3 linked regions of the Arabidopsis thaliana genome follow. The protein of the gene in region 3 purifies or fractionates together with the protein of the main gene of each other region. This does not show direct contact. Each region holds a gene or a part of one and is shown on either strand. Other genes may lie near its edges.

Region 1 (4,719 bases), on a different chromosome or scaffold from region 3:
CAATGATACCAAGAATAGATTATGCTTACAATTCTATGTGAAGATATTAGCTACATTGTCCTGTTGTTAGCAATATTAGATCAATGGAGAGGGTAATTTAGTTGCTGAGCTCAGAGATAACCCTGAAGTTTACTCTGTGAATTGTTGATTACATATACATATATATTCACTCTCTTCTCTGTATTGCGCTGTTGTTCAGGTGTGTTCCTCGGCTTATCTTCCAATGCGCGTTACCAAATCATCAACGGCCTCGAACGCGTCGTGGAAGGTTCTACAGCGGCCAAACGTATCCCTGTGGTCGCTATGGCATTCACGGTGGGAGTCCGGTTTGCTAACAATGTGTATGGCGGTATGCAATTTGTAGATTGGGCTAAATTGTCCGGCGTTCAGTAATCAACCGGTTCGGTTTTGTTACAAACCGGATAGTAAACTAGCCTAGATGTCAATCCTCAGGAGTATGAGAGTATCTCTAATCTGATGGGGAAGTTTAGTTATCTGAGTTTCATTAGTGTGATTAGGTTATTTACCGAGAGCTACAGAAAGAGAATCTGGTTCATGATACGGACCGGATTCTTCTAACCGGAATACTACTCGATACAACATTTTCAATTTGGTTTTGGAAGTTGAGTTTCTCATGGTATCCTTGTCTCTCTTATTCATTTTTCTGAATCATATACTTGCAATAATGACTCAAACTTTTTATCAGCCGTTAGCCTCTGCGTTTTTATAAAGTTTATAACAATATGATCACAATGGCGAATTATGTCAACTAAACGTCATTTTTGACGTTTGCGTTGATTCATTCTTCTGTGTTTTTTTTTTCACTTTTCCCACCGTTAAAAGTGAGAAGGGGAAAAGGAGAATTGTTGGTAGGTGGAGATATTAAAAGTAATAAATAAAAATATTTAAAGCAACTATGAGTGAGTATATTACAAAAAAATCTTTCGATATTTATTTGCAAGGAAAATATTCTTAGGATACTTTGATGGTAAGGCATCATTCGATAGATGGAGGATCTTGCGAGTGACAGCTTAGTAACCACTGTCATCCAACTGCTGCATGATCCTCATCTTTTGTTCTCTTGTTTCTGTTTTGTGCCCCTTAATGATATTTTATTTATACTCCTTTACTTAATTTGAACAATTTATATTATATGCCCTATAGATTAATTAATGTGAATACCAAATGGTAATCAAAAGCTGACGACTGTTCAAAGGAACATTGTCCTCCCAAGGAAGGTGAATCATTTGATTAATCATCCCTACGTTGGGACCATAACTTGACCTGAATTTAAAATCCGGTTTTTTCATGGTCTCATGGTATGGTTATGTACTTATGTTATACTGAAATACCAATTGAATACATAACCGCGGTGAAAAACAGTTTAAGATTTTGAGACAGATTGTACAAACTTCGTTTTAATGGTGCAGTCTTTTGAGAAATGGCCAGCTTTCTTCATTTTTAATATATAAAATTAGTTTATTCCATGTTTATTTTTCGAATTACTCGTTTATTTTTTGTATTTCTCGAACTTGTAATCTTAAATTCGTCTGTTTAGCTCGTTTTAATTTTTGTTTTTTTTTGTAAACTCGTGAATTCTGTTTTTGGACGAGTCAATTTCGAATTTTCCAAATTCGCATGTGTTCAAAAATCAAAACAGACGAAACTGAATAACACAAAATTGAATAGTCAAAGTTGTAAATAATAAAAGTCGTCCCTCGTCTCTTCCCGCAGGCTTGTCTCTCTCTTCTCCAAAGATCACTCTCTCCTTTTTGAATTTCGTCCATTGGAGGTGTCATTTTCCGTTTCTAGATTAGGGTTTCGATCTCAGCTCTCGCGAATTGCTAATCCTTCAGCTGTGGTCTGCGCTTTCTGTCATAGTTAGATCCGGTTTCGCGAGTTCGGATCTGCGCCGTGTGAGGCGGTGGAGGACGGTGGATCTGAGGACTCTGTTCCACCATGACCGGAATGAGAGGTCTCTCCGTATTTATCAGCGACGTTCGTAATTGTCAGAACAAGGAAGCGGAGAGACTACGAGTTGATAAGGAGCTCGGAAACATTCGTACATGCTTCAAGAATGAGAAGGTTACTCTCAATTATCTCCATTTTTGTTTGCCTGTGTTTTATTCTCATTTTGAGTGGTAATTCAGTGACGGAGTAGTATCTGCCGAGGTTCTGTATTGATTAGATATATTGGAGATTTCTCCATGAAGCTACCTATTCCTCTGAGGTTGATTAGGGAGTTATATAAGAATGTAGTTGAAAGAAAGATGCAATCACTGGCCGAATATTTTATTAGGAAAGCCAGAGTTGCCGAGTGGATAGTTTTGGAAGCCTGTAGTTTCTTATTTTATCGGATTCAGGCTATAAATTTTTGATATAACACTAAGTGTGTACCTGGACAGGCAGTATTGTATAGCTAGCTCAGATCGGTAGAGATTAGCCATTATTCTACCCTTTGTAACATCACTAGTACTGCTTTCAACTTTGGAATGTCATTACTGCATTTAAAGTCCATAGATGGGAGAAGATCAATCAAGATATATAAGACACTAAATATATGATGATATTTAGGAACTAGAAGAAAAGAATGGCCTGGCAGTAAATTCGGTTATGTAGTGATGGTCTAAGGAAAGAAATACAGATCACGGAAAATTTTGAAAAGCTCATTACGAAATACATTAAGCTTTGTTGCTGTAAGAAGTTCTGGAGAGATAATCTGGTTCCATACTCTACGTAGTAGAGCTGTAGCCGGCCTGTAGTGGATCCATGTGTGGCCAGTTGGACCAACACCAAACTTATTTTAAAATGTTAGAAATAAATTAATCATGCACTCTTACTTTAACTTGTTTTATGTTTTCAGGTCTTAACACCATACAAAAAGAAGAAATATGTCTGGAAAATGCTTTATATACATATGCTAGGCTACGATGTGGATTTTGGCCATATGGAGGCAGTTTCTCTTATATCTGCGCCAAAGTATCCAGAAAAGCAGGTAAGCCAACGTTTTGTAACCAATGAAATATTGCTTTCTAAGGGTAGGAGAAGATAATAGGTGTGTGTGTGGTGGGGGTGGGGTATTTGTTTGATTCAAGTCTAGTGAGCAAGCTGAAACAAAAAAAAAAATCTCTGAAGATAATGGATGCTGGATTTAGATACTATTTCACAAGCTTGCAACTTATTCAGTTTGAATGGACCTGGTAAAGTACTGGAGGCATTTACTTAGACGCATAAGTTACTTAGTAACATCGTAGCAAATCTTAACCAGGAACCATGCATTGTATCCAAGGGTTTGTATTTGCAGTTTGTATTATTTTATGCTCACTACCAAATTTGCAGGTATTGAACTTTTCATCCATAATTTCAGGTTGGCTACATTGTTACATCTTGCTTGCTCAATGAGAACCATGACTTTTTGAAGTTGGCTATAAATACAGTGCGGAACGATATTATTGGTCGGAATGAGACTTTCCAATGCTTAGCACTGACCTTGGTATGTTGGCTTTTGTCCATGCTGTGTTGAGGTTTTAGAGCTTAGTGAGGTCTTTCTGATTATGAATGCAGTTGAATGACTATTTTAGTGGAAGTCTTTGGATACATTTATCTTTTGTGCTCTATTATTTTGCGATTCAAAGCCACTTACTTCATTGAACTGGTGCTTTTTTTCTTCTAGCTCTCTTACATTTCCCTGCTTATTTTGTCCTGTAGGTTGGAAATATTGGTGGAAGAGATTTTGCTGAATCATTGGCACCTGATGTTCAAAAGCTACTTGTAAGTGACTCCCAAAGATGACATGTTATGTTTTTTTTCCCGATATAAGTAAACATATAAATGTTTTGGGGCTTGTTCGCTGCAGATTTCTAGTAGTTGCAGACCTCTCGTAAGGAAAAAAGCGGCACTGTGCCTACTGCGCTTATTCCGAAAAAATCCGGATGCTGTCAACGTTGATGGCTGGTGTGTGTGAACACTCTTGGGTTACTGGTTGTTTGAGTTTACTTGTGCATCTTTCATATTCACTTTGTCGTATACTTCCAGGGCGGATCGTATGGCACAACTTTTGGATGAACGAGATCTTGGTGTCTTGACGTCTTCTACGAGTCTTCTTGTAGCTCTGGTATCTAACAATCATGAGGCGTACTCAAGTTGTCTACCTAAATGTGTCAAAATATTAGAACGCCTTGCTAGGAACCAGGATGTTCCTCAGGAGTACACATACTATGGCATCCCATCTCCTTGGCTCCAGGTTTGTCTTAACTCGGTTAATACGTTCAATATTTTTTAATCACATCCTTTTCCCAATCTCATGCATTTTAAACATTTTATGTGAAATTAGCTTATGAAAATAGAGGCTTGCCCCAGCTTTGGTATGTTGTGGTTGTTGGATACTTATATATCTTTGGCAGTACAGGTTAAGGCAATGAGGGCTCTTCAATATTTTCCAACCATTGAAGATCCCAGTACCAGAAAAGCTCTCTTTGAGGTACAAATTTTCTTGTGTAAATATCTGATATATGTCTTCGAAATCTCTCTCATGGCATTTCATGGAAATTTCAGGTCCTTCAGCGAATATTGATGGGCACAGATGTTGTGAAAAATGTGAATAAAAACAATGCGTCTCATGCCGTGCTGTTTGAAGCTCTCTCCCTGGTAAGCTCTATCTAAGAAATAGCATTAACTTTTTGAGGTTCAATTGTTGATTATACTCAAGTCAACTATCTG
Region 2 (4,220 bases), on a different chromosome or scaffold from region 3:
CGCTGTGTTCATCGCCACTGGCCAAGACCCAGCTCAAAACGTGGAGAGCTCACACTGTATGACCATGATTCTTCCCGATGGTGACGACCTTCACATCTCTGTTTCAATGCCTTGCATTGAGGTATAATGCATGTTCTATCTTGAAATTAAACCCATTATTGCAGAGAACACAAAGCCGTTAGTTTTTTGAATTATTGTTGGATCCAACTCATGAATGTTTTGTTTATTGATGTGACTCCAGGTTGGTACTGTTGGAGGTGGGACACAACTTGCATCACAAGCAGCTTGTTTGAATCTACTCGGTGTGAAAGGATCAAACAACGAGAAACCTGGCTCGAACGCACAGCAATTGGCAAGAATAGTGGCTGGTTCGGTTCTTGCAGGAGAGCTTTCACTAATGTCTGCTATTGCAGCTGGACAGCTTGTGAAGAGTCACATGAAATACAACAGATCCAGCAGAGACATTGGCCCTTCGTCTCAAGTCAACAGGTGATGTTTGGAGCACGATGAGACGGATAATAATAAAACAACAAAAACCCATAATTAGATTTGATGTAATTCTAACTTCATTTGATTTCTTCTTCATCGATCTCTTTTCTTTTCTATCTATTTTGTACTAAGTCTCCAAATTTTCTTAATTTATGTAAAGTCTTTTGTCCTTCCATCTTTATGGCTTATATTAATATCATAGCTTAGCATCAAAATGTGTAATTAAATTGCGGTTTAAGCTTTAAAGCCATGATTTTTTTTTCTAACATTGAATAGATTATTGTGGCAGTGTTTGCTTTGTGATGATTATGTACGTGACAGAGTTAGGTACTACTAATAAATGTAGAAATGTAGTTGTGAATATTGCAGACGATGGAGGAGTGATATGGTAGTTTGACAAATGAAGCATTTGAGGCAATGAAGTCTCTCCTCATGGCATGTGTGTGTATGGGTCTTTGATGATATCTTAGAAAGTAAGCAGTAGAGACTGTGCAGAGAGCTAAACCAACAATCATTATTGATTTTAAACCAAAGAGAGTAAGAGTTTTATTATTATTGATTTCTGATTACTTCTCTTACAATTGAAGTAATGAATTTTATGTTACGACAAATTTGATCATTTATATAGACGTAAAAATGTAAATTATTATGCATGCATAGTGACGCTGAGGCTCATACAAGTTATAATTTACTCTCAATATTTTCAGGTTGCACATCAATTGTTGATATTTTGTTTCCTCCTTTGTTCTAACTTTTACAACAATAATATCTCATTTTGAAAAATTGCCTAAACCTTTTAATAAAAAGTTGTGATTTTGTTGCAATTTTTAATCTGTAAAAATGCAATCCGATTAAGTCGGACCGTCAGATCAGTCCTCATCTTGTTTGTTTAACGGTCCAGATTTAAAACACTACCCCAGTAAATACAAAACCAACTGAAGAAAAATAAATAAAAAGTAAATTTTTAAAGAGTCCGACCCGGGTCCCTCAAAAAAAAAAAACTCCGACCCGGGACAAGATCCGTATCCAACAAACTTATATGTGTATCGGACACAGAAGAATACTTTCCACGATCATCAGCTTCTGGAGATCTCTTCTGGGAATCGAGCTTCACTGTTAAAGATTTTCCTTCAATCGGCTAAAAATGGTAACAATCGCCACTCCCTTTGCTTTTGGGCTTCTCTGTTATCTGTTCGAATTTTGGATCTGCCTTCGATCTTGTACTATTGCATCGAGTATCTACGATTTGATTTGATGATGAAATTGAATCTAATCCTCCGGTATCCGTAGATTTCTGCTTGGATCTGTCCGGTTCTTTTCTCGCTTACGAATTGATCGATTATTTAGGAAGTGAAAGGATTAGTTTGTTTCGTGAAGCTTGAAATTGTTATGTTTCTGTTGCCCATTCGAATCTCTTGTGAGTTATTAAATCCAATTCATTGTTTTTGAACCACTATTGCTCTTGAAGTAATTAAGCTTCTTGGATTCAAATGTAATAGGGTCTAAGCTAGTTCATGTACCTCACATCTCTTTATTTGCCTCTGTTTCTGAATTGGCAAAATAAGCTCGTTGATCTCTCCATCTTTCCATATCTTTAAATGGTTTAAAAACTTTTCTTGAGATGCTTGTGGCTTGCGTTTAGGTGTATGATGGTAAATGATTCTCAAGTTCTGGTACTTGATCTCTCACAATTCCCTCTTTTGCTTGCCTTATGCAATTATGTGCATTTCAAATCTTTATGAGTTGCCAGAAATCGTGATATATACTACTGGTTTTGTCTGGTCTTGTTTTAATTCTCTTTATCTCGATGCTGTCTTTGTGATTCTAGAATTTTCTCATGCTTGATATGGGTGAGGAGACGTCAAAAACTAATTAATGTGTTATGTATTGCCATTCACAATGATAGAATAATGCTTTCTTGAAAAGAAAAAAAAAAACTTCTAAGGTGGCTGTTTTGGGTTATGTTTGTATTTTCAGATACATTTCGTGTTACTAGTCAGTCGACAAGGGAAAGTAAGGCTCACCAAGTGGTATTCGCCGTATACGCAGAAGGAAAGATCTAAGGTATGTACAGCTTAAGTGTTATTGAGTTAATGCCGCATTATGCTTTGCATGCCTATTTAATCTTACATTTGGAAAAATGATCTGGACAGGTCATACGTGAACTCAGTGGAGTGATTCTGAACCGAGGTCCCAAGCTCTGCAATTTTATTGAATGGAGAGGATACAAGGTTGTCTACAAAAGGTAATAGACATATTTTATATAAGTAGCATGTATTTGCTACTTTAAAAACAATGGTTATAAACATGATGGTTTTGTAATTTTGCAGATATGCAAGCTTGTACTTCTGCATGTGCATTGATGAGGCGGATAACGAGTTAGAGGTACTGGAGATAATTCATCACTACGTCGAGATTCTTGACCGCTACTTTGGCAGTGTGAGTAAACGCTTATCCAAAATATACTCCTACCACTCTATCATAACCTTACAAAACATCTAGATTTTGATTAAGAGCTGTTTATTCTATGATCTTCAGGTGTGTGAACTCGATTTGATTTTTAACTTCCACAAGGTATACATACTCAACTCTATCAATGATTCTCTACTCTCTGTATTTTACTTCAATATGACAATTTTCGAATCTGGTTGTTTTGTTCTAGGCGTATTATATACTCGATGAGCTGTTGATCGCCGGAGAACTTCAAGAGTCAAGCAAGAAAACAGTTGCAAGGATAATATCAGCCCAGGTATGGTTTCTTAATCCTAATGCCCACTGAGACAAAAACGATTAGTCCGTAAGGGTTGTGTAAATGATGTTGTGTTATAATATTTGAAGGATCAATTGGTGGAAGTTGCGAAAGAGGAGGCGAGTTCCATAAGTAATATAATTGCTCAGGCTACCAAGTAGTCCTTTTCTGAACTTTTCTTATGCAGCTGAAACAATCGTAAATGAGTTAATATTTTCCTTAAACTCTGAGATATTCTCTTCTGAATCACACTTTTGTTTGTCATGTCATGTGATTGTTTGATTGATTAGAAGAAAGAAGCATTCATCGTTTTGGGTTTAAAAGTAGTGATTGATCTGCGAAATCATAAATGGTATACTATTTTTTCACATATGTTACGTTTTAAAACGTGGAATGCTGAAATTTCATCAAGTTCATCATCTCGAAATTATAATTTGTCCGATTGATTGAATAGAATTGGTTTTTGAGCCTGAGGACTGATGCACCAAACAACATGCCAGTGTCTCGTTCTTTCTTCTTCAACGTGCCTAATTTTGTAATTCGGGCGACCTAACCTCATTTTGTGTAACCGTGATCCGCCATGAGAGGAGGTATCCGCTCGAAGAGTTATCCTTTCTCCTCACAAAAGCAACGCCAATGTCCCTTTTCTCACTTTGCCCTGTTTGCTCCTTAGTACTTGTTTCACCAAAATAATCTATAGGATTTCAAATACATGAAGAATGTTTGATGGTAACACCAAAAATAGTGGAGAAGAAACAGACACTTATGGGCTTGGGCTCAAGGACTCGAAACTTGTATACCCAAACTTAAACGTGACTGCGTCTTGTTCTTACCAATCCAATAATTTATAGTAATGATAATAATTCATCTTTCCATATATAATTTTTTTTAATTATTGAAATTAAAAATGAGGGAAAGAATATCCGTTTTCTTTGCCACAAAAACATTTTCATTTGGGGGTTTTCATAATTTTTGGTTCTTC
Region 3 (7,558 bases):
CCAAACGATATAGGTGGAGATATGTTTCCCAACACTCCTCCCACGATAACTTTTGCATGTCCACATATGTCTATCCAAATTGTGTTTAACTTAAGAGCCGATGCCTTACTTTCTAAAAGGATACTACTATGTTTCACTCTGATGCAAACTTAGTGTGGCTAGCATATCCTGAAAGAAACTCCAAATTGCACACTGCATGACAAAACACATGCTTCTGATAGCAATTCTGATTTTAAAATACAAGAATAACCGTCTTTGGTCTCTAGCCCCAAGTGTACCTATCACCTAAAAGAAATGTTTGAAAGTTTTGGCATTGTCCATCACTAGCATCATCAACGGCTCCAATGTAGCTAGATCACTGATTTTCCATGGTGATCTGGTCCTTTGATGGTGTTTGATCTTCCTTATTAGTTCAGAAACCAGCATTTCCCGGATTAAATATCGAAAGAAAAAAAATGTGGTTCCGATACAAGAATTATAAGAAAATAGTGAGCATTACAAATACCAAACTAAAAGGGTGCAACCGGAAGTAACACAAACATGGGATTTATTACATACACTAAACTCAGAAGAAGAAAAAAGGTGGGATATAACGAAACAAGAAAGAATCTCTGAAACCTTTCAGGTCTTGGTCTTATTAGCCTTTTGATAACAACGTTAATCATCAAGCCTTGAAGAGAAGCTCCAAAGCTTCGAAGAAGAGAGGCGCAATCTCGGGAGTGGGAGTTTTCACTGCGCATTTGAGACCTGGTTGGCCCACCATTGCAGTGAGCTCGATCAAAAACGGTACATCTCGTGGATCTTTGGCTGATAAGTAGATCACGTCTTGGTTCCCGTTCTTGCGCTTTGCTATAAAGAACATGTTGAATGCTGTGAGCAATTCGATAGTTGATTCGACGCTCGTGATGGTGATCCCGGGGAATTCTTTCAGGACTTCATTTGAGTCCGGTAACGACCTCCATGTCTGATTAAAAAGCAAACAAAAACTTAAAATCTTTGAAAACATAAAGATATATCCAAATGAAAACCCAAACCGTATAAATTTATCTCTAACCGATTTGGTTTCACAGTCGTCACTATTTTCCTAAACCAGAACCGATATGAACAGCTCAAGTTTTGAAGTATGTTACCTCAAGGAAGGTTCCACGTTCCATTCTACCGTCTTCACCGAAAAGAGCATGAAGTATAATCTTATCGGTGAAGTACCACACGGGCTGCTGGTTGTTTTTGACAGCGACTTGTAAGAGCGAGCTTGGAGGCCCAGCAGACATGTTTTGGAACAAGACCATAGGTAGCATTGTCCTGGCGGATGTTGCGGGATGCAAAGGCGGAATCTGAAACAGTACAGACATGGATATTGGTTTCAATGATTCAGACCTGAGTTTCAGACGTTAATTAGATTCAGATAGAGTTACCTGAAGAGATCCAGCAGCTGCAAGGCCGAATGTGTTTTTGTTGAACTGAATCATGAAACCATCAAGAACCGACTGCGAGTTGTTCTCGAAGAGCATACTGTAAAATACTTGTCCATCTTTTCGGGATAATTGAGCGCTTATCTGCAGACCTTGACCACTTGAAGCTGGGACGACAACGGGCAGAGGAGGACTACGATCAAGTTCATAAGATTTGATGAGTTTCAGTATGAACTAGGCAACCGAAATTGACCTAACGTAATAAACTAGTCCCAACAATAGAAAGTTTCATTAATCAAGACATAACTCACCCAGATTGAGTTATGGGATCATCAACCGGGACAATAGCGGCATTATCCAATCCCATCAGGTCACCTAGCAGATCAGGTACAGGAGCTGGGACCGCTGGTGCTGGTTGTCTTCCGGAAGGCTGTGGGATATTACCTGGAGGAGAAGCTGCACTATCAACCGGATTACTAGATGAGTATCCTGCTTCGCTTCCTTCCGCAAAGTCCTCGTCTTCTGTTTTCTGAACTGTCGTTTTCAAGCGGGTAACAAAAGCCTCTGGGGGTTTGTGGTACACAGAGGACAAGGTCGAAATATTTGTAAGAAGCTCATCAAGAAGTGATGGGTCTAGCTGGTTTGAGTCGTCAGAAATCACGGGCTTTTCAGCTAAGACAACATCCTTGGCAGCCTAATCAAGAGAAATGATGAGTTCAGCCAAATACATCTCAAGAGAAAGCTCAACTGATAAAAATTGCTTGTTGCTTGAATAACCAATCCTGAATATATTCATTCTCTACTGGTTGATTACTAGAAAGCTATAAGAAATCAAGGTAACACACACCTCAGGATCAGTGGATAGAAGACGCCAGTATATGTATGCACGATCTCTGAGATCAGGATTATCCGTCTCCACAGTAGCATTATTCAAGACAACCTGAAAACATCAAGCATAACGGAAAACATGCCTGTCATTACATACATGCTCATGAATCGATCATAAAAACAGTGGTGAGCAAGGAAAAAGCCGAACCTGAATCATTTGTTGAGGGCCTTCAGTTGGCTTCTTCAGGAATAGCTTAACAGTAGCAGTTAGGAGCTGCAACTGGACCTGTGCTGGTTCCTCAGGAAAATTCTCCAGAAAGCTTTCAAGAAGCTCATCGGCATTGTCAATTCTTTCAGCATATTCACCAATGATCCATATCATAGATGCCTTTCAAGTTACCAAAAGATACCGAATTCAGTGATTTAAGATTAAATGAAGATGGTAAATTTCAATTTTCCAAACCAAAATCAAAAAAGTTCAATACCTTAGCTTCTGGTTCATCCAAAGTGTCTAAACTCTCACAGAGTGTTGCAATTATGGACTCATACCTGTATGAAATATTTGAATAGCATAACCAAAATCAAAGAAGAGTTTTAAGATGCCATTTCAACAGTGATTGAGAAATGTCAACTTACGTGTTTGGATATCTTCTGAAGATATCTTTGATGACAATAATGGCCTCCTGGACAACATAATTCACTTTAATCTTGATCAACTCGAGCAAAACACTGATGCACCGTTCAGCTGCTCTCTCTAGTTTGATAGCACATCGGCCTATCGCACGAACAGCCTTTCTAACAAAATCAACGTCTACTTCTGTGGCATACTCTTTGAATTCCAGAAGAACCTAGAGTAGCAATTTTCAAAAATCATAAAGATATGCACCAATAATAATCAAGACACACAGCAGATGGTAGAGCTCAGTGAGGATACCTGGTCTATGTTTCTGTCAGAGGCAAGTTTAATCATAATCTCCAACTTCTCCATCTTAACATAAATTGGGTCGTTATACTTGCAGAAGAAAACCTAAAACAAAAAGAATATCACTTTCAACATAATCAATAAATGCACGGATACATCAGTTGTTTATTCTGAGGAACTATGAGACACAGGTCATGCTACCTTAATTTCATGGGCAAGGATAGTGGGTCGTTTTTGCACAATAAGATTAATGTTACGAAGTGCAACATATTGTATCTCAGGTTCGGCAGAAAGCAATGTAACAAGGGGTGGAGCCATCTTCTTACAAAGATTTCTAATCACGTCTGTACTAGTAATAAGTTCCATTTGTTGAAGGATCATCTGTCAGGCAATTACCAAATATGAAACAGAAGTGAGAACGCAATAGGAAAATATGCAAAGGCATTTGATGATGCCTGATGTTTTACAATCAAGTTTGACGAGCTACCAACTAGAAGTAGAGAGGATAACAATCAATGAAAGTCGCTCACCTTAACAGCTGAAAGAACAACAGCGCAGTTGGCATGTTGCAACCTTGGTGTTACTCTCTCAACAATATTTTCAGCCTCACGGGGATCAGCTGCTTTATACTTCGATAAAGCATCTAGTATAAAAACTTGACCCCACCTGCGATGATCATGGTCAGTACTAAAAATGAAGCTACCAAAAGCTTATCCATTACTCATTTTATGCTTCTCTTCCCCAAAGTTTATATACTGGGTCATTATCTACAGATAAAACCATCAATGACGAAAAATTCTAAACTGCTGTTTGAAAATAGTTACAAAGACAACGGAATGATATCCAAACAGAGGCCATACCACATCAAACAAGCTATTTCACAACCATCAACATCCCCTAAACCCTGACTGGACAATGGGGCCATAAATACTCAAAATCGAACAGAATGCAGTGAAACTACGGAAATGGAGAGGACTTACTCAGTGCATTCATTTAGAGCAGTAAGGAGCTTTGTAAGAGTGGTACTATTGATCTCAAAGATGGGGCTACTACTGTTCTCTTGAATCTCCGCAAGGGCTGCTACAGCATTGGCAACAACCATTGGATTGTTATCTGATATCAAATCCTTCAAGGCTTCAAGGAAACCTCTGTCCTCAACTAATTCAGCATTTATGTCGAAAAGCTTAGCGACGCAAATAGCCGCAGTCTTCCTGACATATGGGTCATCATCCTAAACACAAAAAATATACACAGGATAGTGAAAAGATGGACTAGTCAAGATGAAACAGGTTCTTAAGGGCAATAAAGATGTTTGATATCAGATTCCAATGAAGATGTAACATTAGAAACTCAAACCTTTAGGCACTTTTGAAGAGGATCACATAGATATTCTGTGATTTTATCAACACGAATGCAGCCCATTGTCCGCACAGCCAAAGCACGAATCAGCGGATTTGGATCCTGTGAATCCTGCAGAATACAAACCAATGATTTTGTAATGATCAGTTTATCAGTTCCTTTCCCCTTCAGGTTCAGAACAGAACAAAGGAATGCCACGTGGTTTTGTTTGAGTTGCTTGAGTGTTACCTTTACAAAGGTATTTACTGCAAGAATAGCAAGATCTGGCTGGCTTTTCGCATAATTTATGAGATACAAGTAAACAAGCTTCTTCAACTCCAAATTTTCCGTTTGCATACAATTGACTACATCAGTGAAAAGTGATGAAACATCCTTTCCAACAGTCATCGCCGCAATAACCTTCTTAACTGCATCTTTTCTCTTATCCTATGCAACAGTAAATAAACAACAAGGGTTAACAAAACTGTAGCCAAAGCAGAAAAGAACCATTCCTTCTTAAATCATTAACATAAACTCTTCATCCAAATCCACTGATCCAGATCGAACAAGTTCTGATTCACCAACCTAAGCTTCACTAAAGTTACTACGAGATTGCACACACATCTCCACATTAGCCATTCTCAAAAACCTACCAATTCCTCTCCAATTCTAACCTATATCCCAATCAGTTACTGAAAAATGAACGGAATCATCGCACTTCCCACAAAATCACGAAACCAATTTCAATTCAAAATTCAAAATCCAGAACTACACAGATCTACCAAAATTTGTATAAGGATAACTAAATTACAAGGAGAGAAGGATCATCGACCGAGAGATCGTGAATGTAATAATGGCGGATCACAGATCCACATGGAATGAGACAAGAGTAAGATTAAGAAGAAAAAAAAAACCTTATACTGGGAATTAAGCTCTTCCTTGAGCTCAGGGATCTCTCCCTTCTTCGTCGTGGAGAAGTATTTCGAATCGTGACCACTCATTTCTCTCCTTTCTTCGACCTGACCCGACGATGTTTCTTCTCTGAGATTTTATGAGACAGAGAGAGAGACGTTTTGCACACACAAAAAAAAAAGAGAGAGAGAGACGATGACGGAGAAATGTTGGAATGGAAGACGCCGGTGACGATTTTCTTGGCTAACGGGCCGATTGTTTAGTGGGCTCTCTGATAAAAGTTAGCCCATTTATGAATTTCTCGAGTGTGTCTTTTGATAATTAGTAAAAACTTTGATATTTGGCTAAAACTTTTGAATATTTTCCAATTTACCCCTAAACTTAGGTTTTGCCATAAAACTGGAACTGAACCGAACCGAACCAAAAAAAAAAAAAAGAGTTTTGATTTGGTTCCAGGTTCCAATAAGTATCTTAATGGATCTTAAAGCAAATCCATTGGTGGGTTTTTTATAAGGAATCCTTTAAATTTCTTAATAACAAATATTAATAATTTTGAAGGTTAGAGTTTTTGTCAAGTTTTTATAAATTCTCTTCTCCAAAGGTAGAATCCTTAAATGGGTTTCCTTAAAAAAAAAACTTATGAGATCAAAGCCAAGTAATAATGGGAACCAAAACTGAAACAAAAGAAGAAAAAGAGACTAATGAATGAATGACCTATGAGATCAAAGCCAAGTAATCACAGATTTTCAAAAGCGGTGCAAGACTACCATCAAGCAGTGTTTTCTCAATCTTCAAATCTCTATGACATATTTGCTACATAAACATACAAAAGTGTTGATCTGAGAGAACAAAGAGACTAAAACTGAATGCTTCGATGTTTTATTATCATAGTTGTTTGGCTTTAAATAGCCTAAAGATGAAGACTCAGTCTTCTTACAAATACGTGAAAGAGAAATTGCAGGAACTAACTGAAACAAAACTAAAAACTAGGACAACAAGTTGACACCAAAACACGCGGAGCTTATTCCCACTCTGCAACTAACCAAAGACCAAATCAAACCCAACAAAAAGATTAACAAAACGAAGCAAAGATCTCTCTGTTGAAGATATTGCTACTTATCTTATTTAGAGCACATCAATTAGTTGCTCTTAAGCTTAATGTTGCTTTATGTACTGTTTGTAACCCCTTTTGGTCTTTTCCCTTCTTGTCCCTTTAGGTCTGAAACGCTTTCTCTTTGTATAAGTGTCTGAGAAACACTTAAGCTGCTATCAAGACAAAACCTTATCTTTATCTCTTGTCTCTTGATTTTGTCATGGTATCAGAGCTAAAGCTGGGGTTTTTCATTTGAAATCGATAAAGTTTGAGTTTCTTTTGGAGTAATGGCTGCTCCTCCGGTAATTCCTCTTGTAACTGAAGTCCGGCGAACGATCTCGCCGTATGACTTAACGGTCGCTGATAACTCTGGAGCTGTGATCTCCCACCCGATCTTGAAGTCGACTAATTATGATGAATGGGCATGTGGCTTCAAAACAGCACTGCGCTCACGGAAGAAGTTTGGTTTTCTTGACGGCTCCATTCCACAACCGCCGTCAGAATCTCTGGACCTCGAGGACTGGTTAACGATTAATGCTTTGCTAGTGTCTTGGATGAAGATGACGATTGACCCGGCGCTCTTGACGAATATCTCCCACCGTGACGTGGCTAGAGATCTTTGGGAACACACTCGTAAACGCTTCTCTGTTTCTAGTGGTCCAAAGAATCAGAAGATGAAGGCAGATCTTGCTACTTGTAAACAAGAGGGTATGACTGTTGAAGGATATTATGGAAAACTCAACAAGATTTGGGATAATATCAACAACTATCGTCCTCTTCGAACCTGCAAATGTGGAAGATGTGTGTGTAATCTTGAAGCTGAGCAGGAGAAAGGTAGAGAAGATGACATGGTTCAACAATTTCTGTATGGACTTGATGAAACTCAATTTCATACAATTCGGTCTAGCTTAACATCACGTGTTCCTCTTCCTGGACTCGAAGAAGTCTACAACATTGTGAGACAAGAAGAGGACATGTTGAGCAATAGATACTCTAAGGAAGAAAAGCTAGATGTCACTGCTTTTGCTACTCAGTCTCGTCCACAGATTGATC

The links.
Region 1: the proteins of AT4G11380 (region 3) and AT5G22780 fractionate together in Arabidopsis thaliana (co-fractionation; one large-scale study listed by BioGRID). This does not show direct contact.
Region 2: the proteins of AT4G11380 (region 3) and AP19 fractionate together in Arabidopsis thaliana (co-fractionation; one large-scale study listed by BioGRID). This does not show direct contact.

Annotation. Positions count from the first base shown.
Region 1 is NC_003076.8:7,595,069-7,599,787, reverse strand, and holds the start of AT5G22780 (Adaptor protein complex AP-2, alpha subunit), read left to right. Parts: upstream 1-1,674; 5' UTR 1,675-1,959; coding exon 1,960-2,085; intron 2,086-2,863; coding exon 2,864-2,995; intron 2,996-3,367; coding exon 3,368-3,493; intron 3,494-3,708; coding exon 3,709-3,771; intron 3,772-3,856; coding exon 3,857-3,954; intron 3,955-4,035; coding exon 4,036-4,243; intron 4,244-4,408; coding exon 4,409-4,480; intron 4,481-4,554; coding exon 4,555-4,647; intron 4,648-4,719. Other genes in the region: RER1 (reticulata-related 1), read left to right, coding at 200-393. UniProt on the Arabidopsis thaliana protein: Subunit of the adaptor protein complex 2 (AP-2). Adaptor protein complexes function in protein transport via transport vesicles in different membrane traffic pathways.
Region 2 is NC_003071.7:7,551,489-7,555,708, forward strand, and holds AP19 (associated protein 19), read left to right. Parts: upstream 1-1,503; 5' UTR 1,504-1,633; coding exon 1,634-1,636; intron 1,637-2,466; coding exon 2,467-2,553; intron 2,554-2,642; coding exon 2,643-2,734; intron 2,735-2,819; coding exon 2,820-2,928; intron 2,929-3,027; coding exon 3,028-3,063; intron 3,064-3,151; coding exon 3,152-3,238; intron 3,239-3,327; coding exon 3,328-3,399; 3' UTR 3,400-3,675; downstream 3,676-4,220. Other genes in the region: HMG2 (3-hydroxy-3-methylglutaryl-CoA reductase 2), read left to right, coding at 1-121, 242-493. UniProt on the Arabidopsis thaliana protein: Subunit of clathrin-associated adaptor protein complex 1 that plays a role in protein sorting at the trans-Golgi network and early endosomes (TGN/EE).
Region 3 is NC_003075.7:6,918,551-6,926,108, reverse strand, and holds AT4G11380 (Adaptin family protein), read right to left. Parts: upstream 5,621-7,558; 5' UTR 5,502-5,620; coding exon 5,415-5,501; intron 5,218-5,414; coding exon 5,175-5,217; intron 5,105-5,174; coding exon 5,082-5,104; intron 4,948-5,081; coding exon 4,750-4,947; intron 4,633-4,749; coding exon 4,519-4,632; intron 4,394-4,518; coding exon 4,143-4,393; intron 3,829-4,142; coding exon 3,693-3,828; intron 3,544-3,692; coding exon 3,364-3,543; intron 3,268-3,363; coding exon 3,175-3,267; intron 3,089-3,174; coding exon 2,877-3,088; intron 2,790-2,876; coding exon 2,726-2,789; intron 2,629-2,725; coding exon 2,449-2,628; intron 2,353-2,448; coding exon 2,260-2,352; intron 2,107-2,259; coding exon 1,724-2,106; intron 1,606-1,723; coding exon 1,416-1,605; intron 1,335-1,415; coding exon 1,131-1,334; intron 965-1,130; coding exon 665-964; 3' UTR 533-664; downstream 1-532. Other genes in the region: AT4G11373 (Serine/Threonine kinase catalytic domain protein), read right to left, coding at 6,346-6,450.